4 linked regions of the Neurospora crassa OR74A genome follow. The protein of the gene in region 4 binds, or shares a complex with, the protein of the main gene of each other region. Links are inferred from orthologs where the notes say so. Each region holds a gene or a part of one and is shown on either strand. Other genes may lie near its edges.

Evidence for each region.
Region 1: NCU01474 (region 4) and NCU02757 share a complex: the UniProt entries of both Saccharomyces cerevisiae proteins name them as parts of the mitochondrial large ribosomal subunit. The link is inferred for Neurospora crassa OR74A from reciprocal best matches to the Saccharomyces cerevisiae genes YML6 and RML2.
Region 2: NCU01474 (region 4) and NCU07560 share a complex: the UniProt entries of both Saccharomyces cerevisiae proteins name them as parts of the mitochondrial large ribosomal subunit. The link is inferred for Neurospora crassa OR74A from reciprocal best matches to the Saccharomyces cerevisiae genes YML6 and MRPL17.
Region 3: NCU01474 (region 4) and NCU06749 share a complex: the UniProt entries of both Saccharomyces cerevisiae proteins name them as parts of the mitochondrial large ribosomal subunit. The link is inferred for Neurospora crassa OR74A from reciprocal best matches to the Saccharomyces cerevisiae genes YML6 and MRPL9.

What each region holds. Positions count from the first base shown.
Region 1 is NC_026501.1:3,453,552-3,460,664, reverse strand, and holds NCU02757 (mitochondrial 54S ribosomal protein RML2), read left to right. Parts: upstream 1-2,717; 5' UTR 2,718-3,101; coding exon 3,102-4,074; intron 4,075-4,136; coding exon 4,137-4,210; intron 4,211-4,274; coding exon 4,275-4,379; 3' UTR 4,380-4,748; downstream 4,749-7,113. Other genes in the region: NCU02758 (G2/mitotic-specific cyclin-B), read right to left, coding at 1-1,222, 1,319-1,330; NCU02755 (PAP2 domain-containing protein), read left to right, coding at 6,623-6,903, 6,988-7,113. UniProt on the Saccharomyces cerevisiae protein: Component of the mitochondrial ribosome (mitoribosome), a dedicated translation machinery responsible for the synthesis of mitochondrial genome-encoded proteins, including at least some of the essential transmembrane subunits of the mitochondrial respiratory chain.
Region 2 is NC_026503.1:4,356,546-4,364,181, reverse strand, and holds NCU07560 (50S ribosomal subunit L30), read right to left. Parts: upstream 6,157-7,636; 5' UTR 5,810-6,156; coding exon 5,773-5,809; intron 5,627-5,772; coding exon 4,854-5,626; intron 4,765-4,853; coding exon 4,468-4,764; 3' UTR 3,903-4,467; downstream 1-3,902. Other genes in the region: NCU07558 (sporulation protein RMD1), read left to right, coding at 1-34, 100-451, 515-591; NCU07559 (hypothetical protein), read left to right, coding at 1,446-1,668, 1,727-2,061, 2,363-2,402, 2,471-3,372; NCU16690 (hypothetical protein), read left to right, coding at 6,806-7,129. UniProt on the Saccharomyces cerevisiae protein: Component of the mitochondrial ribosome (mitoribosome), a dedicated translation machinery responsible for the synthesis of mitochondrial genome-encoded proteins, including at least some of the essential transmembrane subunits of the mitochondrial respiratory chain.
Region 3 is NC_026502.1:2,064,048-2,071,060, reverse strand, and holds NCU06749 (mitochondrial 54S ribosomal protein YmL9), read right to left. Parts: upstream 3,598-7,013; 5' UTR 3,255-3,597; coding exon 2,100-3,254; 3' UTR 1,890-2,099; downstream 1-1,889. Other genes in the region: NCU06748 (hypothetical protein), read left to right, coding at 923-1,085, 1,224-1,705; NCU06750 (coiled-coil domain-containing protein 25), read left to right, coding at 3,952-4,024, 4,172-4,211, 4,354-4,457, 4,536-4,936; NCU06751 (DUF1000 domain-containing protein), read right to left, coding at 5,192-5,603, 5,756-6,015; NCU06752 (hypothetical protein), read right to left, coding at 6,493-7,013. UniProt on the Saccharomyces cerevisiae protein: Component of the mitochondrial ribosome (mitoribosome), a dedicated translation machinery responsible for the synthesis of mitochondrial genome-encoded proteins, including at least some of the essential transmembrane subunits of the mitochondrial respiratory chain.
Region 4 is NC_026505.1:4,616,559-4,623,767, reverse strand, and holds NCU01474 (60S ribosomal protein L4), read left to right. Parts: upstream 1-2,509; 5' UTR 2,510-2,901; coding exon 2,902-2,982; intron 2,983-3,061; coding exon 3,062-4,030; 3' UTR 4,031-4,365; downstream 4,366-7,209. Other genes in the region: NCU01472 (hypothetical protein), read left to right, coding at 1-275; NCU01473 (mitochondrial large ribosomal subunit YmL35), read right to left, coding at 803-1,587, 1,671-2,235. UniProt on the Saccharomyces cerevisiae protein: Component of the mitochondrial ribosome (mitoribosome), a dedicated translation machinery responsible for the synthesis of mitochondrial genome-encoded proteins, including at least some of the essential transmembrane subunits of the mitochondrial respiratory chain.

The sequences.
Region 1 (7,113 bases), on a different chromosome or scaffold from region 4:
GACGGTAAGGCATGAAGCGATGGTCCAGCAAGCTGATCTCCATCAGGTACTTGCCAAGGGTACGGGATTGAATATCGTAGTTGTCTGCCTTGGAGATGCGGCGGAGAAAGTTCATAGGGTTGGGGTAGCTAAGGTCGTAGTTGAGGGTCGATAGAATGAAACGCTCAGCACTGAGGATCTCAGCTTCAGTAAAGCCGTCATCTGCAACGTGGCGAAAGTTGGCAATATGGGGGGAGAGGACCTCCTCGTACTTGGAGGCAACAAACATTGCAGTGATACCCACGAGCTGAAGACGATCGAGCTGGACGACCTTTTCGCTCAAAAAACGATCGATGATGTTAACGGCAAGGAACAGCGTCTCGGGCAGCAGATGAAACCGAGTATGAACTTCAATGAGCCAGTCGATGAGAATGCCACGAGTCTTCCACTCGAGGTCGTCCTGGTGGCTCATGTACTGAGGGTTCGGCACTGATTTGCACTCGAGGTCGCGGAGGTACTCGAAAATTTCCGTCGCATACTCGGCAACCATAAGAGGATCCTCGAGGTCTTCAGTGTCAAGGTCCTTAACACCTGGCGGATACACTGACTGAACAGGGACGACATCGCGGACGACGGGAGCGGGGGGCTCGGCCATCGGCTTCACAGCCTTGGAGGGAGCATCGTTCTCCTTGGCCTCAGTCCTGGAAACCTTCTTCTTCTCGGGCTCTTCGACGTGGATCTTCTTGCGGGCCGGTTCATTTTCAACAGGTGCTGATTCCTTGATAGGGGCGAGCTTGGATGTGGACGGAGGAGGCTTGCGCTTGGCGGGAATGGTGCCAGCACCAGCACTGGGGCCGACCGTCTTGTTGGGCTCTTTGTTGGATAACGCACGGCGGGCAGTAGTCGCAGTACGGCTCGTAGCAGTTGTGGTCTTCTTCTGGATGCCACTCGGCTGGGCCGCCTTCGAAACTAGGCCGGGCTTCGCAATCGCTTTCTTCGTTCCCGCAACTTCAACCTTGGTGACATTGCTGACGTCGCCCAGTGCATTCCGCTTACCGACAGTGCGAGCGGCAGTGGCGGCGGTGGTTGTCGAAATCGTCGTCTTTTTGGTCTGCATGGTTTTCGCGGGCATGGACAATTCGTCGACATGGAGAGTGGCCGCCTTGGCCCTCGTCATACGTGTCGTGGTTGCTGTACTGTTCTCGTCATTTTCGTTCGCGAGTGAACGCGGGTTCCTCGTCCGCTGCAGGGTTGGGGTTGAGTTAGTACAAACATAGCATGGCTGTGGACAACCAATTGCATGATTGAACGACAATGCCAACTGTGCAGTAAAACTTACAAGATTCGGCATTCTCGCCTAAACCTATGCTGGCACAGAAATTGATGTGAAATGTGTCTACTGACGGGGAGGTCAGCTAGCTATTTGGATGTTTCGTTTTTGGCGAAGTTCGAGGTGGAGAGACTGGTTCTTATTGAAAGACCGATCCCTGTCACGGAGGGAGGGTTGACGCGAACGACGAGCGAACGACGAGGGAATTGTGAACACGGACAGTCAATGAGACTAGACGCACCGACTACAGAGCCCAAAGATGTCGGGAAGAATGAACACCGGCGGTCGGCAGTGATGTCGCTGTCGGCACGTTGTTGAAGCCGGAGATCAACCCTGGGTCCCGCAACAGAAGGTTGGCTGAGACCGTGAAGGATGTGCTGTTGTTGATCGGGAATGTTGCCCAATTGGTGACGACGGTCGGGGCAAAGCACGCAATGGCGACGTCCGGAAAGATTGACTGATCGAGGCCAAGGGTTGCCGTCGTGATGGCAAGGCCTTGCGAGTCCAGGTGATGCGGAGTGGGAATGCTAGTTGGCGGACGGGAAAGGGAGGTATGATGTTTACGAGGCAGAGAAGAATGGGAGTCTTGTTTTTGCGAGGTCTTGGTGGAGGTGCCAGTGCCAGTGCAGCCCAGTGGATGGGGCTGGAGTGCCAGTGGACGGAGCGGGCGTGTGGACACCCACCCAGGTACCGGATCGGACGTGCTGGGACTGGGGCAAAGTACCTCTAGTGCCCTTCGAGGTCACTAGTGCAGCGAGGCTTTGAAGCTTTGAAGTCCAAGACACCGGAAAGGGAACAAAATTACCACAACAAGTGATGACGCGCCGTGCAATATGGGCTTCTGTCAGACGCACGTCTTGCTGTTCCCTGCCTTGCTAAGTTGTCGAATGATGAGGATGCCGTTGTCGAATAAGCAAGTCGAAAAGGTTGTACTGCCGAAGAAATGCAGGCTTCAATGGCCGGAGTCGAAAGTTGCTGTTGTTGCTGTAGCTGAAAGTCGATTGTCGTGCGTCCAGGGAAATGGTTGTTAGTCGGATGGTGAGTGTCGAGTTGCAGAATCCGGAGTCGAGAAAGCGGCCAGGAAATTGTACTTGGGCCGGGCGCTGTTATGGAGCACTGCAAGCAGAAGGGACAAAGAAGGGTCGCACCTCAAACACGCAGTGAAGGAACTGAAGGCGGCAAGGCCACCACAGGCCACGTCCCTCCCTTGCTGTCATCCGCCCGCCGTCAGGGCAACACTGGCAACCGCAGGGCAATTCGGTCAAATCAGCTTCTGATTGGTTTAAACTGTCCAACAGGCTGCGCGTGTCCAGCAGCTGTCAACACTAAGGTACCTTACCTATCCTGGGTCAGACGCGACTGGAACCTTGGGCGGGCAGGAATGGAGCACGATGCACGCTCTTTCCCCGCGCCGCACTGCACCTTCACGCGGTGATGACTTGGTGCCTTCCTCCCGCGCCCGCGTTTTGGAGCGCTGTTTGCAGCACTTGTCCCCTGGAAAGAAACAAGGCTCTTCACCAAAGGGCAGTGGCTGCACCACACAAGCCACACTATTAGCAGCCACAATCGTCAGGGATCGCAAACCAATGCACGGCTGTGATTGGCGCATCAGCCGAGCAATTTTCCACAAGCAGTTATCGACGACAAGCCGGCGACGAGAACCTCGACGAGCAGCCTGCGAGGACGTCGCATTCCGGTTGCTGGAAATCGCAGCAACTGTCCCCTCCAGCACCCTCACCTCCCCAGAGCTCACCGCCAGGAGCTTGGGATATCCGACAGCGATCGAGCAGCCATGCTGCAGCCTCAATTCCGACCCCTCCTTGCGGGGACAGCTTCCTTTGCCCAAACCGTGCTGGGCCGCACCGTCGCCAGATGCTATGCCACCAAGGCCGCCACACAATCAGCAAGCAGCACCAGCACCAGCAACACCAGCAAAGATGCCAAAGCCAAGATCGTCACTCCCTACGTCCGGGACGCCGGCATGATGAGAACCTACAAGCCGCACACGCCCGGTATCCGTCACTTGAAGCGCCCGATCAACGACCACCTGTGGAAGGGCCGGCCGTATCTTCCTCTTACCTTTCCCAAGAAGGGTCAATCTAAGGGTGGCCGTAATCACAGTGGTCGCGTCACCGTCAGACATCGCGGTGGTGGTCACAAGCGAAGAATCCGCATGGTCGACTTTGAACGATGGATCCCCGGTCCGCACACAGTCCTGCGCATTGAGTACGATCCCGGTCGCAGCGCGCACATTGCGCTGGTGAAGGAAGAGGCCACAGGGAGGAAGAGCTATATTGTTGCGGCGGATGGTATGAGGGCTGGAGACGTTGTGCAGAGCTACCGGTCCGGTCTTCCCCAGGACCTGCTCGATTCTATGGGTGGTGTCGTTGATCCTGGTATTCTGGCTGCGAGGACATGCTGGAGAGGCAACTGCTTGCCTGTGTCCATGATTCCGGTTGGAACCCAGATCTATTGCGTTGGCTCCCGTCCGGATGGCAAGGCTGTTTTCTGCCGCAGTGCCGGAACATATGCAACCATTATTTCCAAAGAGGAGGAGACCCGTGAGGATGGTACAAAGGTTATGACGGGCAAGTTCGTCAACGTAAGACTGCAGAGCGGAGAAATCAGAAGGGTCAGCAAGGACGCTTGCGCCACCGTTGGTATTGCCAGCAACATTATGCATCACTACAGACAACTGGGCAAGGCCGGTAGAAGCCGTTGGCTCAACATTAGGCCTACTGTGAGAGGTTTGGCGATGAACGCAAGTGAGTAGACTCCCAGAACAATCCGTTTGTCAAGCGAGCAAAACCAACTAACGGCCTGGTAGATGACCATCCTCACGGTGGTGGTCGTGGTAAGTCGAAGGGTAATAGGCACCCTGTTTCTCCTTGGGGTACACCTGTAAGTCATGCCCCTTTATTTCCTTCCTTCCTCTGAACAGACGCCTTACCCTCTTTTTCTGTAGGCCAAAGGTGGTTACAAGACTCGCAGAAAGTCCAACGTCAACAAGTGGGTGGTTACCCCCCGGGTCCGCAACATGGGAGTCCGGAGGAACAAGAAGACTACATGAATAAAATAACCCACTGTGCTCAACTTGGGCTATATACCCACCATCTTGTACAATATGTAGTGAAACTTATTCATTTGCTCGCAGGCCGGCAGTTCGAGGGCTCAGTATATCACCGGAAGGATGCCATGTGTGGGTATTGGGCCCAATAACATCGTCTGTTGGAGATCTGCCGTGTTTGTCTTTGTTTTCCACTTTCAACTGAGCAACTCTACGGCGATGTGGTTCAGGGCCCGGCCAAGGCCGTGACTGTGCCTATAAATCGGCATACGACTTCAGGAATGTACCAAAGACTACACATGGGGTTTGTTAGACTCCGTTGTCATATACCGACCCCAACTTAACAAATTTTTTATTGATTTATTTACTTATAAAATTTGTTTAATTTTCCTAAAAAAATTAAAAAATTTTTTTTTCCCTTTTTTTTTTTTTTTTTTTTTTTTTTTTTTTTTTTTTTTTTTTTTTTTTTGCGTTGATTATAGACAACAGACTACAATGAAAGAAACTGAAGGCGTTTGGTCATTGGAGTCGGTCGAGTTGTCCAATCACATTTTGCGTTCATCTCTTCTGCAAGGAGCAGAATAACAATGCCGTCCCCCTTCGCCCTTTCAGATCTGCTACCGGTTCTGTGAACGCCATCCTGAAAAAAAAAAAAAAATAGGGGCGTAAATAGCCGCGTGGGTAGACCTGAGCGCAGCGAGATTTATATGCATTCCAGCGGTGGTATCTTTACAGTGGTTGACTGTGTAAGGGCATATCACGACAGCGTCTCGGTATGCGCCCGCAATTCGGCCATACATACAACGCCATGAAGGAACGAGGGTCGACAAAAGGCAAGCATAGTCTCATCTCCATAGAGGTATACCACAAGATCAACGGGGGTGATGAGTACACTATTTGAAGCGTCTCTTCGGTGGTTTGGGCAGAGTTTAAGGTTTACGCCATTCTTTTAGTGTACATACTATTTCACAACGTTTCGCTCGTTCAGGGCAGTCCCCTTTGTACTTCTGGAGATTGAATGGGATCGATGGAATCGGTAGTTGTACATTAACTAGTAAGGAAAACTGAGTGCGCCACCATGTCTGGTACCTCACGACCCCGACAGGTCGGCACAATAAATATATACCTAGGTACCTAGGGTACATCGTACTTCTCTGCGGTGCTTCTCACCCTACACTAAATGAGTTAAGATGCACTAACATGGAAAAGCTGGGGAGTAGGTAGGTACCTATGGTTGCCCCCATACATACCTCATCCATGTCGGGTAGCGTTAGAGGTACGCGGGACTGGGGTTCCACTTGGCTAGGGGCCACTGCCTAAACCACCCCCCTGAATGATCTAGATTTCCAGGTTGTTACAAGATCGTTGGTTTCGGTTGTAACCTCAACCGGCATGCCACCGAGGAAGCTGCCATTCTCTTGTTTCCCATCCGCTCTTGACCGAATAACTCGTTCACCCTCGATAATCTCGTTTTCACATTGGTTTTCTTCTCTTCGCTTCATTTAAACTTGGTTATAACTGTTCTCATTCTTTCTGAGCCGCCGTTACGGGACTCACTGCATCGCCGCTGGGAGTACTTATTGTCGACCTGTCAACTGACTTCAAGCAGATGGGAGGAGTGCGGACTGCGGGGACCAAGCAAAAATGTATGTAGTGTACCTAGTGCAGAAACAGGCATGGGGAATCTATGTTAGCGTTACACGTGCGGTCTTAGAAAGAGGCTTAGACGTCTTGGGTAGGAAATCGTGGACGCTGATCGCTGGGTGAAACTCATTTTCTGTCAGACCGACAGGTTCGATACAAGAATGAACTGTTCAACCTCTGCCGTGCTCTGCACACTCATTACATGCACGCGCCAGGTCTCCGGCTTCACGTACATACTGCGTACTCCCGTCACGACATCTTTGTGCTAGTCCGGCTAGGTTGTAGGCTAGGTACTAGTACTTAGTTTCCCCAAAATATCATCTCGGTTCCCAACCACTGCAGCCCATAGGTTTGTATTAGCCTGGTCACACCTCTTGTCGCTTCACCCTTACATTCAGCTGCGGCTTGCGCCTATTGAAACATCCTCCTATTACCTACCCACGCTACTCTTTCCGGCTGGCAAACGCGACCAGGCGGACTGCTAAACGGACTGGACGCAATCTGACCCAAACTTGCGCTTCCGATCTCTCATCTTGCCGTCCCTTTTTTGCTCGAGGTTCTCTCTCCCATCCGACCACCCCTCGGATTCTCCTTAGGTCCTCATGCCCGACGATTCAGAAGACCTCCTCATCCCTCCAGCACATGCTCGCTCGATTTCACCATCGCATACCGGCTATACACCACCAACTTCGACGACGCTGATGATGGACAATCTCAGGCACACCCGAGCTGGTGGGCTAAAGAGGAAGAGAGGAGGATGGGTGGTGGTAGTCTCGTATGTCTTTGACTGGGTCATTATTGCTGTTGCCGGAGTCATTGGCTATATTTTTGGGGCTAAAACCCCAAACAAGAGACCTTTCTCACTTTACGATCCCAATATCTCGTATGTGAAATCAAACAGTTTTTCCTGACAGTTTCTGCTTGATCCATTCAATGGATGTGATGCTAAGAGGTACAAACTCTCCAGATTCCCCTTTACAGTAAAGGAAACTGTGCCCGTCTGGCTGGCAACATGCATCAGCGTGATCGCCCCCATCTTCTTCATTGCCGTCATCTCGCTGATATTCGTCCCTGGCGCTACCGTACCTCGGGG
Region 2 (7,636 bases), on a different chromosome or scaffold from region 4:
GGCCATTTCCCACGCTCTCGCCCAGAGTGTGAAGGTTGGTTTCTCACCTTACTATACTTTGTGCCTGACGTAAGACTGCTGGCTAACCCTATCACATAGACGTCTCTTTTTGAAGAACTCATTGCCTCAACCATCGAGACATGCAAGGACATCCCCACGCAGATTGCATTGACGGGCAAGATCGACCTCAGCCGGCAACAGATCAATATGCAAATTGGAGAGCTCTTCATATTGCGTGTCAACATTCACCTAAACGGCTCCGTCCTCGATACACCGGAGCTGTTCTGGGTCGAGCCACAACTCGAACCATTGTACAAGGCCGTGCGCAGTTACCTCGAGATGGACCAGCGTGTCAAGTTGCTGACAGAGCGTATGGATGTCATTGCCGATCTGTTGGCTGTTCTCAAGGACCAGCTAACTCACGGTCACGGAGAGAAACTAGAGTGGATCGGTAAGCGGCCATGCACACATACACCCTCAACAACATCCTGGGATCATGCTAACTACTTTATAGTGATTGTCCTTATTGCTGCCGAGATTCTCGTGGCGGCCGTAAACATTGTTGTCGATTTGTATGCGGGCGTTGACTAGAAGAAGACAGCAACTCGGGATACAGTGCCAACAGAGGGGTGGTCCCTGCGTAACTCACTTCTTTTCCTTTTAATTATTTTCTGCATGGAATTGGGCATCTTTCTGAGCACTGGAGGAGTTCTGGGCCTAAAGGCGATGAGCTGTGACGTTGTTTTTGTCTGGTTGGATTCTTTGGTGGATAGCATTTAGAAGGGATGGCGCTTCGTAGGGCCAGTGATGAACAAGAAAGGCAGAGAGAGAGAGCCTTGATATGCCAGAGAAAATAGGTCAAAGAGCGCCAACGATATTCTCGTTCTGGCTTGACGACCCGTGATAGACGATATACCAGTAAGACTTCATTTCATTATCTTAACCAGACGTGATACTCTGCCCGTTTTTCTATCTTTCCCCGGTACTTCGATTGGCCGGGTGACATTCCCTACTCTTCCTTCATCTGATGTTCCGGCAGATACATCATGATACATCATGAAACATACTATGGGACGGTCAAGGCACCAAACAGGCAGGACTGGGCAGGTGTCCGTCGGTGACGTTCCCGTCGCAAACGAAGAAGGAACTGCAGCACACGGAAGTGACAGGCACAGCTTCCAGTTCGCGAGGAAGGTACGACGAAGGCAAGCCGATAGCGGAAGTCGCGTCTACCGCGATGCCTGGGCAGTGAGGACACTTGGGATTTTCCTCACGGGGGTTTCATTACCTTTTCACCCCACCTCGGCGTTCGAACATTGTTTTCCTACCATCATCCTTCCTCCAGGGTCGTTAGGCATTCAACTTCGCAAGATCTGCTCGCATCAGGCTCAAAACTTATGTTGATGGACATCTAGATCGCGGCTTCGATCCTGATCTCTGTCAAAATGGAGGTCGACAACGTCAACTTCTGGGGCCATCTACCCACTATCCTTGACGCGATTGCCGATGCCGAGTTCATTTCGCTTTCTGTAATCGGTTATCCCGATGCTGTCGTCAAAGCTAACCTGACCAAGGAGGAGCTCTACCGCGAATTGGTAAATCACTCCAAGATTTACCACATCACCAAGATTGGCCTTACTTGCCTCCAATACGACGAGAAGCAAAAGGGTACGTACGATGGCAATCTCTTAGCCTGGGTGTTCACCGAGGTAACTGACATTCCGAGTCTCAGCATACTCTGCGCGCAGCTTCAACTTTGCCATCACCCCTTGGTTCCTTTCTGCAAATATCCAGGCGGAACTCATCGCAAAGACCGTCAATCGAACGTTTTCCTTTTCATACGACACCCTTCAACAGTTGGCGACAAACGGCTGGGGTTTTAACGAAGCTTGGGAACGGGGTGTTCCTTACTTGGCCCGCTGGGAGGCGCAAACAGTCGAGGAGCGTTTCCTCCAGCCTTGGGAGACCAAGAAGCCATTGGACATCAACAAACTAGATGCCGAGTCCCAGAAATTTCGGGCATGGGCCAATGAGCAGATCACATCTTGGCTGAAAGAAGAGGTACGATGACTCCTTCTGATTTTGTCTGTCGACTTGCTGGTCATCAAGCTCATGCCCGCTTTCCTTTACAGGACAAAACTCTTGACTTAGCAACCCCCTCAGGCGAACGGCTTACTAGCCTTCAAGTTGGACTCATCTGCCAACTTGTCTACTCCTGCTTTGATGACTGTCGCGCAACTCTTAGAGATGACAATCGAATCATGCAGATCACGAAGCTCAGTCGCACAGAGCTCACCATTGAGGTCAGGGAAACAGCCACAATTCAATAGTTTAGGACTGTTTTACTGATCGATGCTCACAGAGATTGACGAACCGCCGCATTGCACTGGCGCGACAGTCAGGTAAGCGACTCCAATAGCACTTCATGACACCCAGGCCTTTCTGGTTCCACTAACGTTTGTTCTTGCAGGATTTCTCTACGTGGTGGAGGCCCTCCTCGGGGGACAATTTGCCAACGACATCGAGCCCGAACTATGCTTGGCATACGTATCGGTGGTGGATCGTGACTTGCGAAATCAACTTATTTCGGCTTTCCGCGACAGACTTAGAGCAGCTGAGGATAGAAACAGGCTCAGACGACCTATCCTGCTCATACACTCTCAGCTCGACATGCTGTGTCACTTTTACTCGACATTTTTGGGCCCCCTTCCAGAGACATTCGACGGATTCACAAAAGAAATACACAACATTTTCCCTCGGATCGTGGATAACAGGATTCTGTATCCCCTCAACAACTATCCATCTCCCTCGTTCCACGGGCACAAGCCTTCAATTGAGTTCATCTCTGCCGCAGAGGAAGAGGGAGGACCCGGGGTCACACCAGTACGAGGATTCGAATACCAGAACAAGATGGCTGAAGAACACGGTCTTTACGGCTGGTATTCCAACCTCGCATTCCTCAAGGTTGCAGCTAAGAAGCTGCAGAAGGAGCAGTGGCTGAGCAAGACTCGGCCCGAGAAGACGTGCGGGAGCATGAGAATGAAGACGGTAAAACCAAGCAAGCTTTTCTTCACGCTCAATCCCTTTGCGCCCAACAGCATTATCAGTCGTCGGTCAAGTATTTGTTCTTCTGTCGCTTCTGGTATGACTGGAAGCATGGTTGACACCCCGCCCAGTGTTTTCGGTGACGGCAGTGATGAGGAGGAGGAGGAGGAGGAAGAGAAGCAGGAGGCACCTGAGGTTCATCGTCTCCCCCCGTGGGAGGCAGTTTTCTGGGAAAAGTTTGGAAACAAATTGGTCCTTGACCACGGTGAAGTTTTGGCGCTCACCACTTCGATTCCGCTCAGAAAGTCCCGGATTCGGAATCTCTAGGATGATCATCGGGACCTCCTGTATGAGCTCCTTTTTGTGTGGGCTTTGGGCACGATTTGTGTGTTATTCAGATTGCTTTTCAGATGGGTGGAGATTTGAGACTTGACTTGTGTGTGGTGTGGTAATGCCAACAAGTAATTTGTTAATGATGTACGAGGAATGGAGGAGTACACCACTGGTACGCGCGCGAGAAGTGTCCCAGCTAGAGGTGTAAGCCAACGGCCTTATATGGATGATCAAGGAGGATGTCCTGATGGAGGCGTAGGAGACGTGTGAAGATATCCTACAGGCCGCCGTGGTGTGGACTTTCAACCAGCTCAAAAGTACCGTTGCTTTGGTCTGCGGCTGGCACAAGCTTTGACTGTGTGTCTCAAGCCGGGAGAACCGGTGTTCATCATTGATCAAGGCTGGATCTTGAAGAGGTCACTGCCATACCTATCCACGTCTCTAATGCAGAATCGGGTCACAGATATGTGATTAGCTCAGTCTGTCTTGTTTGTGTATGTTAGTATCAGACTTCACCTCAGATAGCGGTATGACCAACCCAGCGGATGTCTGGTAGTATTCACCAACCATCTCGCATCCTGTATGACATCTTCATCCCAAATCTCTATACACAGCATATGTTTTTACATTACAAACAACACCCTCTCTCGTCCCTGTGCTTCATGTCAGCCTTCGCCCGCTTCTTGCAGACATGGCATGCGAGCTTGGCTTCGGCCTGGTCAAGTACGCTGAGGCGTGCGAGGCCTTTGAACTGTCAAGTCAAGTTCCAAACCATCTCTGATTCTCTTCCTCGAGACCTTTGATTGTGTTCGGCTAGGGGGCGGTCCAGGTCTACTCAGCGCATAAACAACAATTGTACCTTGCCACCGACCGACTAAAACCATCTTTTGATATCAATACATTTGTACACATGCTTCTCTCTTCTTCTTCTTCCGCCACCCACTGCACTTCCCCATTCTATTTCCCCGGAAGATAATGGTGTAGTCTCACCGACTTCGACCATCGACTCATCATCACCTCTCCAACCTTGTTCTTCCATACTTCACTTCACCAGACCAGGCTACATAGGGTGTTGTTGTGTTGTGTTGTTCACCTCTCAGCAAACATGCCCTTGACGCTGTGGAAGTACTCCTCCGCCAACGTGCTGCGCAGCTCCTCCTGCGTGAGCCACTTGAAGTCGACCAGATCATGCAGGTTGTCGGTCAGGTCGGCCTGGCCGGCCATGATGCGGCCCTTGAGGAAGAAGATCTTCTCGCCCTTCTTGAGCAGGGCGCCGTCCTTCTGGCCGAAGACGGGGCGGACGACGTGGTGGGCTACGGGCACGCGGCCGACGATCCACGTGTTCATGTTGACGCCTGCGGACTCGGCGAGGATGCGGGCTGCGGTCTGTTTATCGTCATCATCAAAGGTTAGTTGGCCGCGAGTTTTGGAAAATGGTTGGAAGTTGGGTTGGGGAAAAAGGGAATATAACGAACCTCATGCAACCCCTCATCCGTAGGCACCACGCCCGTAGGGAACATCCACTTGGCCTCCTCGCCTTCCTTGTCCGCCTTCTTTTTGACTACCAGATAAAGCGTCTTGTCCAGCGCGCGATCCAACCGCTTGACATCCCCTTTCTCATCCGCCTCCGTCCGTCTCGGCATCGGCTTCTCGACGGGGACCCGGTCCTCGGCGGGGATCTCCTCGCCATCCTCCGACACGCGCATCTCCGCGTCGGCAAGCAATTTCTCCACCATGTGCTTTCTCGACGACGTCTGCGACCCCACCAGCACCTCGTCGTTCCACGCCATCCGGCCGCGCGGGTTGTACCGACCAATGTCCTTGGCGGGCACGCCGTGGCGCTCCTTCAGCTTGATGCGCCAGTCCAGGTCGGCGGCCGTGTCCTTCTTGAAGTAAAAGTCCTTGCGGAAGGGGGCCGTCAGCCGCTCGTTGAGGCGCTTCTGGTAAAAGTAAAAGGATTCTTCAAAGGGGGTGAGGTCGCGCGTCAGCAGCGGGGGGCGGGTCAGGATCACGCCCGACTTGATGCGGTAGATTTGCGACGAGGTCGAGGTGGCGGCGTGGGTGCCTGTTGATGTGGTGACGGGCGGGTGAGGAGGGGGTAGTGTTGTTGTGGTCGTGGCAGTGGCAGTGGCAGTGGCAGTGGCAGAGGCCTCGGCGGAGTAGAAACGTCTAGGTGCGCTGGTGACGCCGGCGGGCGCAAGTACTCGGGTTTGGTTGCGGCATTGTAGGCAGATGGACCGTTGTTGGCCTGGAAGGAAGAGAAAGAACAGATTGCGACGGGTTAGTTATGGTGTCTTTAAGCTTAAAGTTTGCGATCGGAAGCCATGCATGGAAAACACCAATTCGTAACGAGTTGACGATACGAAAAGAAGATAAAGAAAAAGTGGTCCATACTCCTAAGGAGAGCAGCTCCCCTACTCGACGCCGACATGATGGGCAGTATATATGACTTGGTTGTTGAACGGGGCCCGGGTGTGTAGACAACGGGACACGGGACGGGGAGAGGGAGGGAGGACGGGTGAATCTTGCGCGCGCGCCAATCCTCAACGCAACTCTCTCTCTCTCTCTCGCAAGTCTCGGGGTGGATGCGGGACGGGGTCGGTCGGTCGGTCGCTGCGGCGGGCGGGCGGGCGGGCAGGCAGGCAGGGCAGAGCGGACGGACGGGCGACACACAGCGCGGGAAACCGGCCGTGAACTTTTTCGATGTCCGCAGCCCCACTCTTTCCCTGGGGCCCTCCCGCCTGCCGCGCTGCCGCCGCGCACCGATCAGTCAGGTCCCCTCCCTGCTCGTTTCGTTCCTGGTCGCGATTGAACAATTGAGTCTTGGCAACCGATTTACTTTCCTTCACCGCCTTCCCTTTTCGAAAGCTTCCCTTTTTCTTCTCCAAAACCAATCCCCCCCGCTACCTACCCCACCATAACTTTCACGTCCTCAGTTAGGTTCACGGCTCCTACGACCCCACATGACCACTCACCTGACCGAAGCGGGTCCAGCAAACTTTTGAACTGAACTGCTGCAATAAAACTGCCACCAATCCCCCCTCCCCTTCTCTTCTTCCTTCTTCTTCTTCTTTTTTTTCTTTCTTCAAGGCACCATTCCTTATCATCACGACGTTTCTCTTCCTCCAAAACTGTCCTGATCATTTAGTCCGTGCCGAGAGGAACCACCATGAGCAGACGAATTCGCTAGCGGTACCTGCCTATAAACGCTCTACCGGGTTGCTGTTAGATAGAATCTGCTTACATATTTTTCTCCTGCGAACTCTCGTGACGGTTTTGCATTGTATGTATGTAATAATACTGCAGACTGTCTTGTGTGTGTGTGTGTGTGTTTGCTCTTTCTGAGAAATGAGCTTGGCCCAGTCAGTCTGGTCAGTCAGTCTCCTTCTCCATGGCATGTACACTACGTGTGAGGAGACTTCGCTAGATGAAAGTCAAGATGGGGCTGGTTTCTTTGAAAGTGTTATTCTTGCCACTTCGTGAAATGCTTCCCCGTCTCGAATTTCTCAAGCCTCGTTTTTGTGGCACGCGTCTTGTCTGGCTGCTTGGTGTCCTGTCGATTCATTCCTTGACTTTGGATATGAACCTTCCTGAGATCATTCATGGATCGTTCTCCATCCCCGACACTTGCTTGTCGTCACTCCGGTCAATGTCGCGATCAAGCACGGCCACATCTACTGAAGTCTCAGCTACGCCGCAATGCACATACTGCCCAGCTCAGAATATTCATTTCCACCATCCATGTCGCTGATCACGATATACATATGCGTGCTTCATCTCATAGAATTATCAGACCTGCCTCCTTGCTAGCGTTCGGACAAGCTTTCCAAATCTTTACTAGGCTACGTATCAGAATGGATGGACAAGTTAGTGGAATATCAAAAAAAGATGAACAAGAATAGAATGAGCAGTCATCACGTTATCAACCGACTTGTTCAGCACACCTTGCGCAATGCCGGAAACAGTGGACTACACTACATAGTCCAAGTTCCTTAACGATGACCAAAATGCAACAAAAAAAAAAAAAAAAAAGTCATGTCTGTTCATTGAAAAGATCCTAATGTATAAAAACTACCGCACGCCAGTTGTCCGCCAGGATATTTACCCAGATTCACCCCAGCCGGCCCTGATACCATACACCATCTAACATATACATCACATGAGTGATCAGAAAGTACTTCTCCTTTCTATCATGCCCAATACATAAGCGTCATCCTGATCAACGATGACTGAGCAAAGCTTCCGTGCCAGCAACCGC
Region 3 (7,013 bases), on a different chromosome or scaffold from region 4:
CGCTTCGCAAGGTTGTAACCCGTTTTGTGGCTATACACAACAGAGCTTGCCTTGTCAGATATGGGATATTGTGACGTCCTGTACCGACGAATACTATTCTTTGTTGGGAGTTATTCGAGGCCGGTCGCAACCTTGAGAGTAAAAAGAGTCCAGTCCCCACTGGAGGATAGAAATTGACCGTGTCTCACGGCATATGGCGTTGAAGCCAACTGCATCATAGGCGGACAGGAAGAGACCATACTTCTCAGCCCGGTGGAATAGTAGCGCCACGCTTTGAAGGTAAGAGCCAAAATAGGAAACTTGCCTCTCGGCCATCGTCATTAGGCATATAAGCAGAGAAATGCTGAACGATACAGCAACAGAACCACAGTTCATGGATTGGCAAGCTAACCGGCAACTCAACAGGAGTTTATCCTGTTTTCTTCTTCTTCTTGAACCTGGGACAACGAAGGACAAAGAAATGATGCATTTGCAACTTCTGAACAGAACGGGATAGTCTCATCGAGAAAAAAAAAAGAACATAAAAAGCCCCCAAATATCGCGGTGCCGACAAGGGCTGTTTGGAGGAAGCATTTAACACAACCCCGAGATTCTCTCGTCAACTCCTAACCCTCACCAGCCACCCCGACAGCTGGGTACTTGCTGCTACAAGAATATTGCCCAAAGGCTATGCACTGATCAAATCGTAGTGGGGTGGTCGACGTAGTGCCGCCCCACTGCCTATCGATAAACGAGTTATCGTAGGAATCGTCGCCAGGGCAGCTTCCATTTGGTAGGTAGGTCGGGTAGCTTTAGTGTACGGGACGAACTCCAGAAGCTTGTGTCAACACATCCTCCCGTCCCGTCCCTCCCCATCGTTCGTCTGAAAAATAACCTTCACACGAAAGTACACATATCATTCACACACACATAAACACACACAATGCTCTCTAGGATAACACAACGTATGGCGCTAAAGAGGGCGCTGGCGAGGCCTTCCCCTTGCGCCAAGGGCCGCGCTCAACCCCAGAGGAGATCTCTCACATCGGCACCCAGGCCTGGCGATGGTCCGTTGATGGAGAGGCGAGCTGATCGTGAACTTCCTGGTATGTTCTCCCCGTGTCTCTTCTTCTTCTTCTTCTCTTCTCTGTGTTCTGTATTTCCTGCTGTTTCCGCACCCCAATTGAGTTCCTTAGTACCATGGAAGTTACTGACCCCTCTTCCCTTTGCAACCACAAAAACAGATGTCCAAACCTCCCGCTTCCGCTGGTCCCGCACCTTCCCCATCTTCTTGGGCATCGTAGCCGCCACCTCGATCGCAATCTTCAACTACCAGAAACTCTCTTCCCCCGTGGTCGAGTCAACCCTCTATGCGCTGCGCACGAACCAGCGCGCGCGCGAGTACCTGGGTGACGAGATCTACTTCAAGGCGCAGATTCCGTGGATCTCGGGCGAGATGAACCAGCTGCACGGCCGCATCGACATCAAGTTCAATGTCAAGGGCACCAAGCGCACGGGCGTGATGCGCTTCGCCAGCTTCCGGCCCACGCCCCGAGGCATGTTCGAGACGACCGAGTGGAGTCTGGAGACGGAGGACGGCAAGGTCATTGACCTGCTGGAGGAGGGCGATCCGTTCAGAGCTATCAACGGCCGTGCGATGGAACCTGAGCTGGATGATGATGCAGAGGATGCGAAGGTCAGGGGTTTCAGGCAGATGCCCAAGTAATTGTTTTGGGGTGCTCTTAAGGAGGGAATAGTTTTGAAAAAAGGGAGGATATATATGGGAACCGGGGAAGGTGGTGGTCCCCCTCTCCCCCTCTCAAACAGGATGAGCTGAAGGACAGGATCGTGGTCTGGCTCTCTGATTGAATACCCGAAGGCTGTCAAGGAGGAATATGTGTAAGATATAGGGAGAGAACATACGAACCTATCACGGGCAAGGGTTGTATGTTCAAGTTGTTATACATTTTCGGTAGCTGTACATTTTAACACCCCACGATGCGTGTGTATCATACAAGAGAGAACTAAAAAAAATGAGAAACCGGGAAGGCTTTACCATACATTCCCTTCCATAAACCTAGTACAAACACATACTACAGACCAGAGACAGCCCCCCTCTCTTAAGCCGAAGCTTCTACCGCAGCATTTCCATCCGCCTTCTCTGTCAGCCCATTCTTGATGAGCGAATCTATCAGGCCCTGTCTCCTCGCCTCCTTGAGCTCCAAGTGCAACTTCCTCGCCGCCTGCAACTTCTCCTCCGCATCAGGGAACCGCTCGTTGAGGAGCTGCTTGGTGGCCTCGACAAACTCCTCCGGGGGAGGAGCCTTCTTGACAGCATCCTGAACCTTGACAACCGCACCCTTGTGACCAGCGACCGCGCCCTTGACCACCACGATGCCGAGCTCGTTGTCCACCATCAGAATGGGCAGGTTCTGGACCGTGTGCTGCTGCGCGCCCATGCGACCGGGCATCTTCTTGCCGGGCAACACACGCGAACCGGAGCCCTGCGAACCACCGACGGAACCAATGGTACGGTGGTTCAGCGAGTTACCGTGCGACGCCTCCTGACCGGCGAAGCCGTGACGCTTCATACCACCGGCAAAACCCATACCGCGCGTGATGCCGCGCACGTCCACCACCTGGCCGACGTGGAACCAGTCCGGAAACAGCTGGACGCCGACCGGCAACAAGCCGTCCTGGTTGCGCACCTTGAACTCGGCGAGCGTCTGCTTGGGCGGGATGCCCTTGGCCTCGTAGTAGCCGAGCTGCGGGGCGCCCACGTTTTCGGCGCGGCGCTCGCCCAGGCCAACCTGGACGGCCCAGTAGCCGTTCTTGGCGCGCGTCTTGTTGGCGACGACTTGGACCCGGTCGAGCTGCAGAACGGTGCAGGGGATGCGGGCGCCGGTGCGGCCCATGAAGACGGTCATGCCCTTCTTGACAGCGAGCACGCCGGTGCGCAGGGGTGTAGTCTTCTCGCGGCGCTTGAGGGCAGCGGCCGGGCCCGAGGTGGGCGCCGGAAGACCCTGCGTCACTTGGTTGAATCGTGTGGGCCTGCTGCGCTTCGGGAGCGTGCTCCAGCCGTACTTGACGCCGCGCTTTGTGATCTGAGGGAGGAGGGAGGGAAAGACAGTCGATGGCGAGGAGGCGGAGAAGGTGGGTGTGGTCCGGCCGGCGAGGAGGAGGGAGCTGGCGGCGGCGGTGGTTGTGGTGTGGGTGGCTGACCTCTCGACGAGGGAGAGCTGCCTCCAGCAGCGCGCGGGCAGCCGGGGCGCCATCGTGTATGTGTATAAGTCTGAGGGGAGGGTTGGGTGGTGTTGTGTTGCTTTTGGTGGGGTTGGTCGCAGTCAATTGGACCTGACGGTGTTCGTTGTATCGATGTCGGGGCCCCGGAGCGTCGAGTGGGGGGAATGGAAAGGACACCGGCTGTCTTCGAGACGCGAACCGGAGGGGGCGGAGTTGGGAGGTCGTTTCGGCGCGCGGCCGTTGAGGTGGTTTTGGGGCGGGTGCGGGAGTGGTGGTCGCCGGCTCGAAGCACGGAGCAGCAGAAATTTGATAGCCACTCAGAAATTCAGTAACGGGATGCTCCCCCCCCGATAACGTCGATCGGTTCGGCATCCGGGGATTCACAATTGACAGGGGAGGGGCGGCTATTCACAGGCGGGTACTATGTATTTGGCGGATTGTGGTGTACAGAGTGTGACATCTCTACAAGAAGGGTTAGGGTTAATTGCTTCTTTCTATTCACTTAGGTAGTTTTACTTCCGCTGGAGTGCGGGCGCATTTTACCGCATTGGATCCCCCAAACTCAACCGCTAAAACATCTTCACTCGAACCACCACCACACAGCCCCAGAGAAGAAATCGCGTTTTTGCATCTTGGTTTCCCTTCTTGCACGAAGTGTCTTTTTCATTGTCGCCGTTTTGAGATACCCAATATTCCCATCTTTCATTTCTTCCAAAGGCATCAGCAACCATGGTCTTCTATTTCACTTCGACCGTCGTCAGTCCCCCGGCTTTCATTTATGTGGGGAAAGACAAGTTTGAGAGTACGTGAAGATGATCATCAGCCACAATTGGTGGTATTCTGCATCTCCTTGTGGAATATGCATATATCTTGACACACTCATGGACATTGCATATTTGACTTGGATATAGATGTCAGCTCGTCACTCATCTAACATGCTATTTTATAGACGAGGAGTTGATCCAACACGGCTGGGAGGAGGATGTATGGTAAGTTTCACCCCGGCCAAGCCTAGTTCGGCATTTTCTAACTATTCTTCGTAGGGTATGACTCCCCATGAGGTTCTCGTCATATTATGCTCTGTTTCTCATTACTAGGCCCTACTTAGTTCCATGTCGACAAACTTTCCAGTGCTCATATCTACCTCCGTCTCCCAGAGGGTTGGACATGGGAGAACATTCCCGAGGAGCTCCTGACCGACCTTGGTCAGTTGACCAAGGCCAACTCCATCGAGGGTAAGTTGCTGCTTTTGAATTCTACTGTCAGGAAGTCATGGGGGAATTCGTGAGGACTAACTCTGTGCTTTTGTAAAGGTAACAAGAAGGACAACATCACAATCATCTATACCCCATGGGCCAATCTCAAGAAGGACGGCAGCATGGCGGTCGGCCAGGTCAGCTTCAAGGATCAGAAGAAGGTGAAGCGCATTTTGATCGCGCAGCGCGAAAATGCTATCGTCAACCGTCTGAACAAGACCAAGGTTGAGAAGCACCCGGACCTGCGAGAGGAGAAGGAGCAGCATCTCAAAGAGCTGCGCAAGAAGGATCAGGCGGCGGTGCTGGCGCGGAAGAAGGAGGAGGATCGCCTGAAGAAGGAGCGGGCCGAGAAGAAGTGGCAGAAGGATCATGCCTACGATGAGCTCTTTGCTGAGGAGAACATGATGAACTCGAGCAATCAGGATCGGGATGAGACCTGGGAGGATGATTTCATGTAAATTTGCTTGAGAACAAAAGAAACAAACCTACTGAAGTTTTCCAAGCTACATAAGACCTGAAAATCCTTTGATGCCCGAAAGCCATCGTCAGAACCTTCCCAACCTTGATTCCTATCTGGTATGCTGCCGCCTTTAAAGCAGCAGACTAAGAACTAAACCCGGTTTGACCCATCACTAGAGGTAGCTCCTTTATCCACTCTCGAACCTCTTTCTACCCGTCACTCATTCCTCACTCCCCTCAAAAGGTCCTCTCTACTACCCCTGACGGTTATATCCCACACCTCTTGCATCCGCCGTTCCCTTAACCTTATGATCCGTCGGCCTAGCCGCCGCCTCGTAGACGATATTCTTCGGCGCTTGTCCCAACGTCATCCACTCCCCCTTGAAACCAATATAACTGATTCTCGTTTCATCCTCCTCTCCTTGCGAAAAATTATCCGGGAAAAACAAGCACAGTCTTTGCACGGCGTTGAACTTGGCTCGCTTGACGGGCAATTCCTGGATTTCCGAAGTCTGGGAGAGCTCGAATTCTTGTGTGGGGGTAGAGTCCTCAGCTTGACCGAAATCGTGGATGTCGGCGTTGGCGAGGAGGCGGAGGGTGCGCGGGGCCGAGGGGGAGGGCGAGGTGCGCAGGAGGACCGAGTGCAGTTTGATTTGGGCTGTGAAACTATTCGGGAAGGGTCGGTGTGTTAGTGATTGGGTGTGTATGATGGGGTCATTGTATGATGTGTATGTTACGGGAGAGGAGTGACATTGAAATTTCGTGATGATGTGAATGACTTGAGTGATCAAGTGTGATAAAGTAGTAGTGTGACATACGGAACGTTGATAATCAGCTGCTCATCAGCATCGCTCACCACCTCGGGCTCCGTCGCCAATCGTTCGGCCCACGTCTTCTTGATAATGGCCTGGCCGGAGCCGTGCACCTGCTCGTTCAGCGTGGTGATCTCGTCAAAGTTGATGTGCTGGTACAGCGAGAACTGCACGGCGGGGGTGATGTCGTCAGAGTGGTCGTGCTCTGCCCCGCCCTCATGATGGTGGTGGTGGTCGTCGTGCTCGTCGTGGCAGTGGTGCGACATTGTCCTGAGTTGAGGTGTTGGAATATAAGATTTCTGTGCCTCGTGTTGTCAAGGTTTTGATGATTGATATTGACGACGGGGTGGTTGTTGAAGTTTGGTGAAAGTGAGGGGCCAAGACAGAATGCTTCCGTCGTAAACCTGCGTGATTTGAGTTGACCGTTAGTTCTTCCAGTGGGTGATTGCAACCAACTACATTTCAACGACGACCGTCAACAAAAATGCCTTTCGGAGATCGGAAAGCTAAATGGAAGATGTAGAATAGCATGCAAACAACTTTGACGAAAGTCGTTTACAAGAATTGGCCTATACATTGAACGCCGAATCTTCGAGTGTTTTCCGCACTTTCTCATCCAAACATCCATCGATCAGCAAGCAAACGAACTACCTCCACCATCGGTCACACATATCTATTTGTCACACAACATCACGTCAGGATCAAGCACGTAAAACACGAGGTTGCCATACGGTCATATTCATCTATCTGAATCCCATCCGCTTCTTCACCTTTTGCTTCTTCTTCACATGAGAGGGCCTACCTCCATGCGGTCCTGCAACAATTTGTGACATGGGCTGCGATGCAAAAAACTGCGATGACTCCGGCTGAGTGTTCTGCGTGAAAGCAAAACCTCTCGGCTGGCTCGACTGAATGGCAAAGGGCAGTGGTTGACTTTCTGCCTTGACAGCTTCAACTCCGCGAATCCTCGCCAGCAACTTCTCTCTCTTCCTGCGCTTTGCCTCGAGCTTGCGCCTTCTCCTAAGACCAGCATCATCTTCCTCGTCATCTTGACCTGGCTTCCATGTGATGACATTGGGGTCTTCACCAAGCTCCCAGTGAGAGGTGACTCGGGTTCTACCGCCACTTCTCTTCGAAACGGGGTTCATGGCCACGTACTGGCGTAGCCTCACGCCCACTACATCTTCACCGTCTGGTTGATCTTGACTCTGGTTCGTATCATAGCCTTGAGACTGTGATTGCGACTGTGAGTGCTGTACGAACT
Region 4 (7,209 bases):
GAACAGAACTGGGAAAAAGGCTGGCCCGGTGCGCAAACATCAATCTTCTCGGATGGAAGACATGCCAGTATTGCGAGGAGGGGTTGGCAGAGGGCGAAGCGAAGTCGGAAGGGATGGCACTGATGGGTAAGCGGATGGCGGATGATGATAAGAATGGGGAGGAAGAGGAAGAGGAAGAGGAAGAGGAAGAGGAAGAGGAAGAGGAAGAGGAGCGAGAGTGTGACAAACATCGATTTGTGGATATAATGGAGCATGCGGAGATGCGAATCGAGTAAACAATGTTGAGAAACGATGAGTTTATTGCGGGGACACGCTGTTAGGAGCTAGTTTCTGGCTGTATTGTTTACTGATTTCCCCTTTCGGACGGCTGGTGAAGAGGGGGGGGGGGGCAATAGTAGGAAAGTCAAGAATACCTTAGGATGAGTGTATCAGACGACGATACATGTTTTCGTTCAAATAGACAAATGTTTAGCTGCTCTATAGGATTATAGACAGCATCAATTGGATGACATGATTCTTTACTTGCCCGCCGGCATCAAGGTTCATGGCTTGTATTTGTACATTGATTAGGCGTTTTCCACGCCCTTTTAATCTACTCGTGTCTGATATAACTATTGTACAAGACAGGACAGCTTCAGCTACCGGCAAAGTCCGTCCCACTGCCACGCCACAAGTCGTCGTCGCCACCGTCGTAACGTGACGACTGCCGCTCTCTACAACAACAGCTTTAACAAGAGGACGATACTGCTGACCACAACGCTCGCACATGCACCTACTACACCCCAACCCAGACGCCCGCTTTTTACGCAATGCGCTTGACGTACTTCCACAAGCTCTTGTACTTGGGCTTCTGCCTCTTGGCTTCCCAACCCCTGGCCTTGCGGGGCGGCTTGAGCGAAGCAAACTTCTGGCGCTTGAATTCAACCTCAGCGCCGGGAATGCCGTGCCTCTCCATGACCTCGGCCGTGCCCTCGTCCCACTCGGAGCGGAACAGGTTGAAGCCGACAGGCTCGAGGTCGAATTTTTCGCGGAAGCCCTTGAGCGAGAAATTCTCGCGGTTCTCCAAATGCTTTTTCAGGGCCTCGCCGTCGATCTTGGCACCGGGCTTTTGCTCAAGCACGAAGACGTTGAGGCGGTGGTAGGGCGAACCCTTTTGCGCGAAGGGGGGAAGCCAGGGCTTGCCGACGTCGCCCTCGACGCGGTCGCCGACGCTGCGCAGGGAGAGAACCGTCTTCGACGGGTCCCATGGGATGTTGGCCGCCAGGAAGTGGCAGCGACGCTTGAAGTTGTCGTGCGTGACGTCGGGAACGTCCGAGTCGATGACGACGACAGTGAGGAGGCGCTCGCCCTTGTCGAAGACTTGCATGCGAAGTGTGGGTGCAACCTCGGTCACGCGCGAGTCGAGGATGGCTCCCGGGGAAACCTGGTAGCCACGGAAGGAAAGCTTGACGTCCATGGTCGGGTCGAAGGCGGGCAGAAGGTCGGGAACGACGTGGAACTGCGAGATACGCTGCGCAATGATTTTGTAGTCCATGGAACGCCAGCGGCGCTCGGCCATGAAACGGTAGACGGGCTTGGTCATGTCACCTGGAGGCAGAGAAACGTGTTCGTTAGACTGAGACTTGCGAAGCGGAGTAAACGTCATAAGAAAAGGAAAGGAAAATACAAACCTCTGCCATCCTCGAAACGCCTCTTCACTTCGGGGTCGTTGATGTCGGCCAGAATCTTGAGCTCCTCAATATACTTCCTCAAGCTCTTGATCCGTGTCTGCTTGGCGGCCTCGCCGCCCTCGAACTCGCTGGCATCCCGCGCCTCGATCAGCTTGATCTTCTCCGTCTCCTTGACAATCTGGGCGATTTTGGCCGCGCGGTCCTGCTGCAGGATCTTGCGCGCATCCTGGAAACACTGGTACGGCAGCTGCTCGAAGGGGAGGTTGCCGGTGGTGGCCAGGGCGGCCCTTCTCCTTCGCGACCCAAGCTCTGGACCTCCGACTACTGTGTCTGCTACTGTCGCCTTAGCCTCGGTTGCCGAAGGAAGGGGTGGTGGTGTTGTGGTGGAGTCGACAGGAGAGGTGGTGGTGGTGGTGGTGGCGCCCTCCTCTTTGCGCATCGGGGTCGAGGAGAAGGGCCTAACGGCGGCAACGGCGACGGACCGGGTCGAACATGTCGCAGCGCCGGGGCCGGTTTGCCGGAGACAGCGGACGAGTGGCCGCGCGACCTGCTGACACGTCGACATGGCGGGTGGGAATGTGTGCAGGCGGGCCGGAGGGGAGAGTATTGGAAGTGCGGGATCGCTCTCAATCGAGAGGAGCTGCACTCAAGGTTTCGTCGACGGGGAGGACGGGGTCAAGGACGGGACAGGGACGGGACGGAGGGTTCGTTGGTCCTTCAATTCGTTCCATGCTGCAGCCCACCTGCCCGGACTCGAACTGCGGCCAAAATTTCGTGGACCCCGGGGCCGGCAGCACAGTGCGCTCATTGGAAGTACTTATAGTGGGGGTTGCAGAGTAGCGGGCGTGCCCCGCGAGAAAGCTCGCCAGAAACGGGTACTCGATGGCTGCAGCGCACTGTACGTGCACGTTGCCCGCACTCCAGATCTTTTTTCTCCAGACTCCGTCCAGTCCCCTCGTCGGCCGAATCGTTGCGACTTGACTGGGAGGACCGGCGCCCGCGACGACCACCGCATATCCCGTCAGAGCCCCCGTCTCGGTCCCGTTCCGTTGTCCCTCCCTCGCCCCGAAGCGCGCTCCACGTTTCCGTCCGCACAGGCCCGTGGTTGCTAGTCTCTCTTTTCCTCCCGCGAACAACTGCCTCGAGCACCACCATATCATACCTGACCTCCACTACATCCGAGTTGCATTAACTTGTAACTCCCGTCACCTTGCCATATCACAACGCCGCCATGGCCGGCAAGGGTCTCAAGAGCCTCAACGAGGCCATGAATGCGCTGAGCATTGCTTCCAAGTCATGCAGGGCACTGCCGGTTTGTCCTCCATATGTCCACCGTCTTGCTACTGACCCGCCTACGACTTTCGCTCACCAGTACAAACCATGTCCACTAGATGCGCCAATCCTCTATTCTTCCCTGCAGACGGTCGATGGCCTCCGTAGCCACCCCTCCTGCCGCCAATATCACAAGATCGGTCTCGGAACCATGGCAACCCAGTATGAGCACCAACACGACTGCCAACCTCGACAACATCGCCCGCGCTGGAAAGGTACTAACCCACGATTCAGTCACCAACGTTCCTGTGACCGTCTATTCCTTCCCCGAACTCGAGCCGCGCTCCCTCGAATCCTACTCAGCCCGTCACCTTCACCTCCCGCTGCGTCGCGATATCCTCCACTTGGCCGTCATCTACGAAGGTGACTCGACACGACGGGGCATGGCGTCTACAAAGACACGCTACGAAGTTCATGGTTCGCACAAGAAGATGAGTCCCCAGAAGGGTACCGGTAACGCCCGTCGTGGTACCCGCCAGTCACCTCTGATGAAAGGTGGTGGAAAGACCTTCGGCCCCAAGCCCCGCGACTTCAGCACGAAGCTTAACAAGAAGGTCTACGATTTGGCCTGGCGCACCGCGCTGTCCTACCGCTACAAGCGCGGCGAGCTCATCGTCACCGAGGACGGCCTCGACCTCCCCCTTCCCAACGATTTCCTCTGGCTTGCCGGCGGCGGTAAGCTCAGCCGTGAGCTTGAGGACGGCTACGTCCGCAAGTGGGTTCACGAGTTCATGACCAGCTTGAACTGGGGCAAGGAGGCTGGCCGGACGACCTTTATCACGGGCGACAAGCGCCCCAACCTCTTCACTGGATTCGAGTTGGCCGGTGCCGAGGGTCGCGCTTTGGAGTTGTGGGATGTCGATGTCAAGGATCTTTTGGAGACGGGCAGGATAGTGATTGAGCGCAGCGCGCTCAAGGAGATGATCGAGGACCACCAAAGCGACCTCGTCACCCGTGTAGCAGTCCAAGGGCTCCGCCAAAAGGGTCCCAATCTGGGTGAGGTGCTCGTCAGGGCGCCGAGATACTAGACAGGGAAGAAGATGGAGAAGAAGCAGCAGCAGCAGAAGTGAATGTGTGTGTGCAACCACCGGCAACACTCTTGTACCATATGAATCGCGCAAGGAGGGCGGACTGAAGAAGACGGTTTGTCCAGCACGATGAGTGTAATATTCATGTTCCTTTGTACGGTGTACCTACACGAGTTTCCCTTGTTATTCGGAAGCAATTGGCTTGCCTTGTTCCCTCTCTGCATTGTGATAATAAGCGAGAACTGTGTAAAAGCCAAGGGGTTAAGTAGAACGGTATAGTAGTCTGTGACTGTGACACAGTTATGCGCAACTAAAATGTCATTTCTTGGAGTGAAGTTGCAGTGTTTCATTCACCACTCACTACTGCTGGCAATGCCTGGGCAGCCTTGCCGGTATGACCCCTTTGCCAACAGGAACTGCAGTGAAGTGAACAACTGAAGATGGAAAGAGGACGAGATGGAAGTTGCAGCCAACAGCCAACAGCCGACTGCCTGAACAGCTTGGCAGTCCCGCCTCAGCCCGCTGCCGGCCCGCCATGGAATTCCTCCCGGAATTTGCACTGGTGCACGGACCAAGGCTCGGGACCTCCCCGCGCCTATTTAACCAAGCCAACCCTTCCCCCAATCTTCAACTTTCCTTCTCCTTTTTTTTTTCCTCCATCCAAGTGCAGGGGTTTTACGCGTATCAGTGAGGATTCGTCCGAGATCGCGTTTTTGCTAGTTGAAAACTACATACCTGACCGCTCTCAGTTGGCTTCGGCTGGCTGGGGAATTTTTGGCAACCCACAATCCTTTCTCGGACTGGAGATTTCTTCATTTTTTTCTTCATCTTTCAATGCCTACGGTTCCTTGTCGAGGGGCCGTGGTGAGGAAGGAAACCACGGACGAATGCATGGCCCTATTTGTTTCGGGCTTTGGGATCGCGAACTTGCTGCTTGGGTTCCGTAAAGATCTGGAGGGCCCGTGTCTTCATACGACTTGTGTCGACAGCGCGGGGTCTGTCTGGGGATCGTGATGCGGTGTTGTTAAATTCGATGGTTTGAATTGTCTGGGCTTGGCGGTCATCTGCATGTGGTCATCTGAGACCAAGAAGTCACTTCGCAAGCCTGGTTTTATTCTTTGGATCGGAATGAAAGCGACGAGGGGTGTCCGGAACGCTGATTTGTCCATGTGTTTTTTGGACTTCAGCCGCCAGTTGCAAATTGTCGTGATATCGCAATCGGTTGCCAGAGATTGCGCAGCGTTGAGGTTCGCAGTACTTATAGAATCGGCCTTGTATCAACTTTACGAGAAGCATGCATAAATATCTTGCGTTCGGGTATCCAGCTGAGAGATCCCTCTCAGCTCGCTTGCCTCACCCGCTCACCAGAAAACAAAGGTCGATCTTGTAACCGTAGACAAGGCTTCGGTTGGCTTCTTCCCACTGCCGTATCTTGCCCATCAACATCGATGATGCGACAAGCGAAGTCCGGTCCGGTTCTCGCTCCCCACCCAGACCCTGGCACCACCAGGCTACCGTACACGATATAGCATCAAGACAATTCGGACATTTCTTCACGTAGTTCAGGGTCTAAACCGGCGCACCATTGTTGTCCAATCCTGTCGTTAATCGTTCCTTGTCTGCGCATACTGTAATCAAAGGTAGTATGGGTAATTTTGCTGGTCTCAGGGCTCTTTCGTTTCAATGCAAAACATATTCCCCTGGCATTCAGAGGGACGAATCATTTGCCAAGGGATGTTGTATGGCTGCTGGATACAAGAGACCTCTCCTAGACCTTTCCGCGATACCTCTCCAACACCCAACCCAGATCGCAAGATCCAAAATCATGGCATGGTTGTAAAGAGGCACACGAGGTCAGCATGTCTTGCAGAGTTGAGCTGTCCGCCGAGCCGTAAGCCTCAGCAGCGGAGATACATACAATGTCATATGGGTGGGAGAATCGAGAAAAGGACGGGAAGTGGGAATGCCGATTGGCCGGCGCGACGATTTCCGGACTATGCCAAGACTAGAACCTGGAAGTGTGAAGGCTGGAAGGTCCGTCGCCGTCTCACCATACGTTGAAGTCGACTGTCACTGTCGGGGGGCCCGTGGTGGGCATGAAGACTCGACGCCGGGTTTCCGCTACAAACTTACTTGCGTAGTGTAGGTAGGTGGTGTACTGTTAAAGAGTTTTTACTCCACTCAGCTGTCTAGACAAGCCGTAAGATTGGTCAGGTTCGGCAACTGGCCGTGTAAAGCTACGGATGGTTACTGTAAAACTGTATGATAGGCTGGGCGCGCGACACAGTGCTCCGCTGAAAACCTGTGGAGGTGCGTCGCGCTGCTGGCTGGCGAATGGCCCTGCAGTCCGTCCCGTCTTTGGCTGAAAGGCCAGGGCCGTCCAACTCTGCCTTCCATTCCCGCTCGCCTCCAAGTCCAAGGTGAGCGAGCGCCCTGCCCTGTCTTGTTCACTCCAGCCATCATCAACCGAACAACCAAAACCCACCACCACCGACCGACAATCAAACCTGTCGCCCAACCGACCCAGCATCGCCGAGCGCCGCCACGAGGCCTGCGATCACCGAGACGCCATTCGAGTCGACTCGTTTTCGACTTTGCTTTTCGATTTTTTCCCCCCCGGGCTATCTGTCGACCGCCATCTGGATTGATCGAGTTGGAAACTGCAGTTGGGGGAGTTGCACGCGGGCGGAGAGCGCAAGCTTCTGCGACAGTCGCCGGTTTACGCTTGCGACTCGACACGGCGAAAACACTCTTCCCCCTTCGACGAGCGCCCGCTTTCTGACTCCCTCTTGACACCGCTGTCTCGTCATCATCGGGCTTCGTCGGCCGATTAGAAGGATCGCGTCACATCCGCTTCAGCGTCGGAGCGTGACACCATCACCCACCTGCTGTTAGGGAGCGGTGAAATCTCGTTGTTGTTTGTCAGGAAAGAACCGACGCAGGCATCCCTTTGTTGTCACCGGACCGCCACTTTTCGGCAGCGGACAAGACAGACAATCGCTTTCGCGCCAAGGATCCTGGTCGATTATTCATCGCTGTCTGTCGCCTCAACTCAACTTCGTCAACGACTCCACCAATTTGCCGTCATTGAAAAATGATGTCTTTTCACCCCCAGACCCCGCAAAGCCCCTCGCATTTCTCGCCCAGTTCGAGTGATCAATCCACAAGCATGTCAGGTT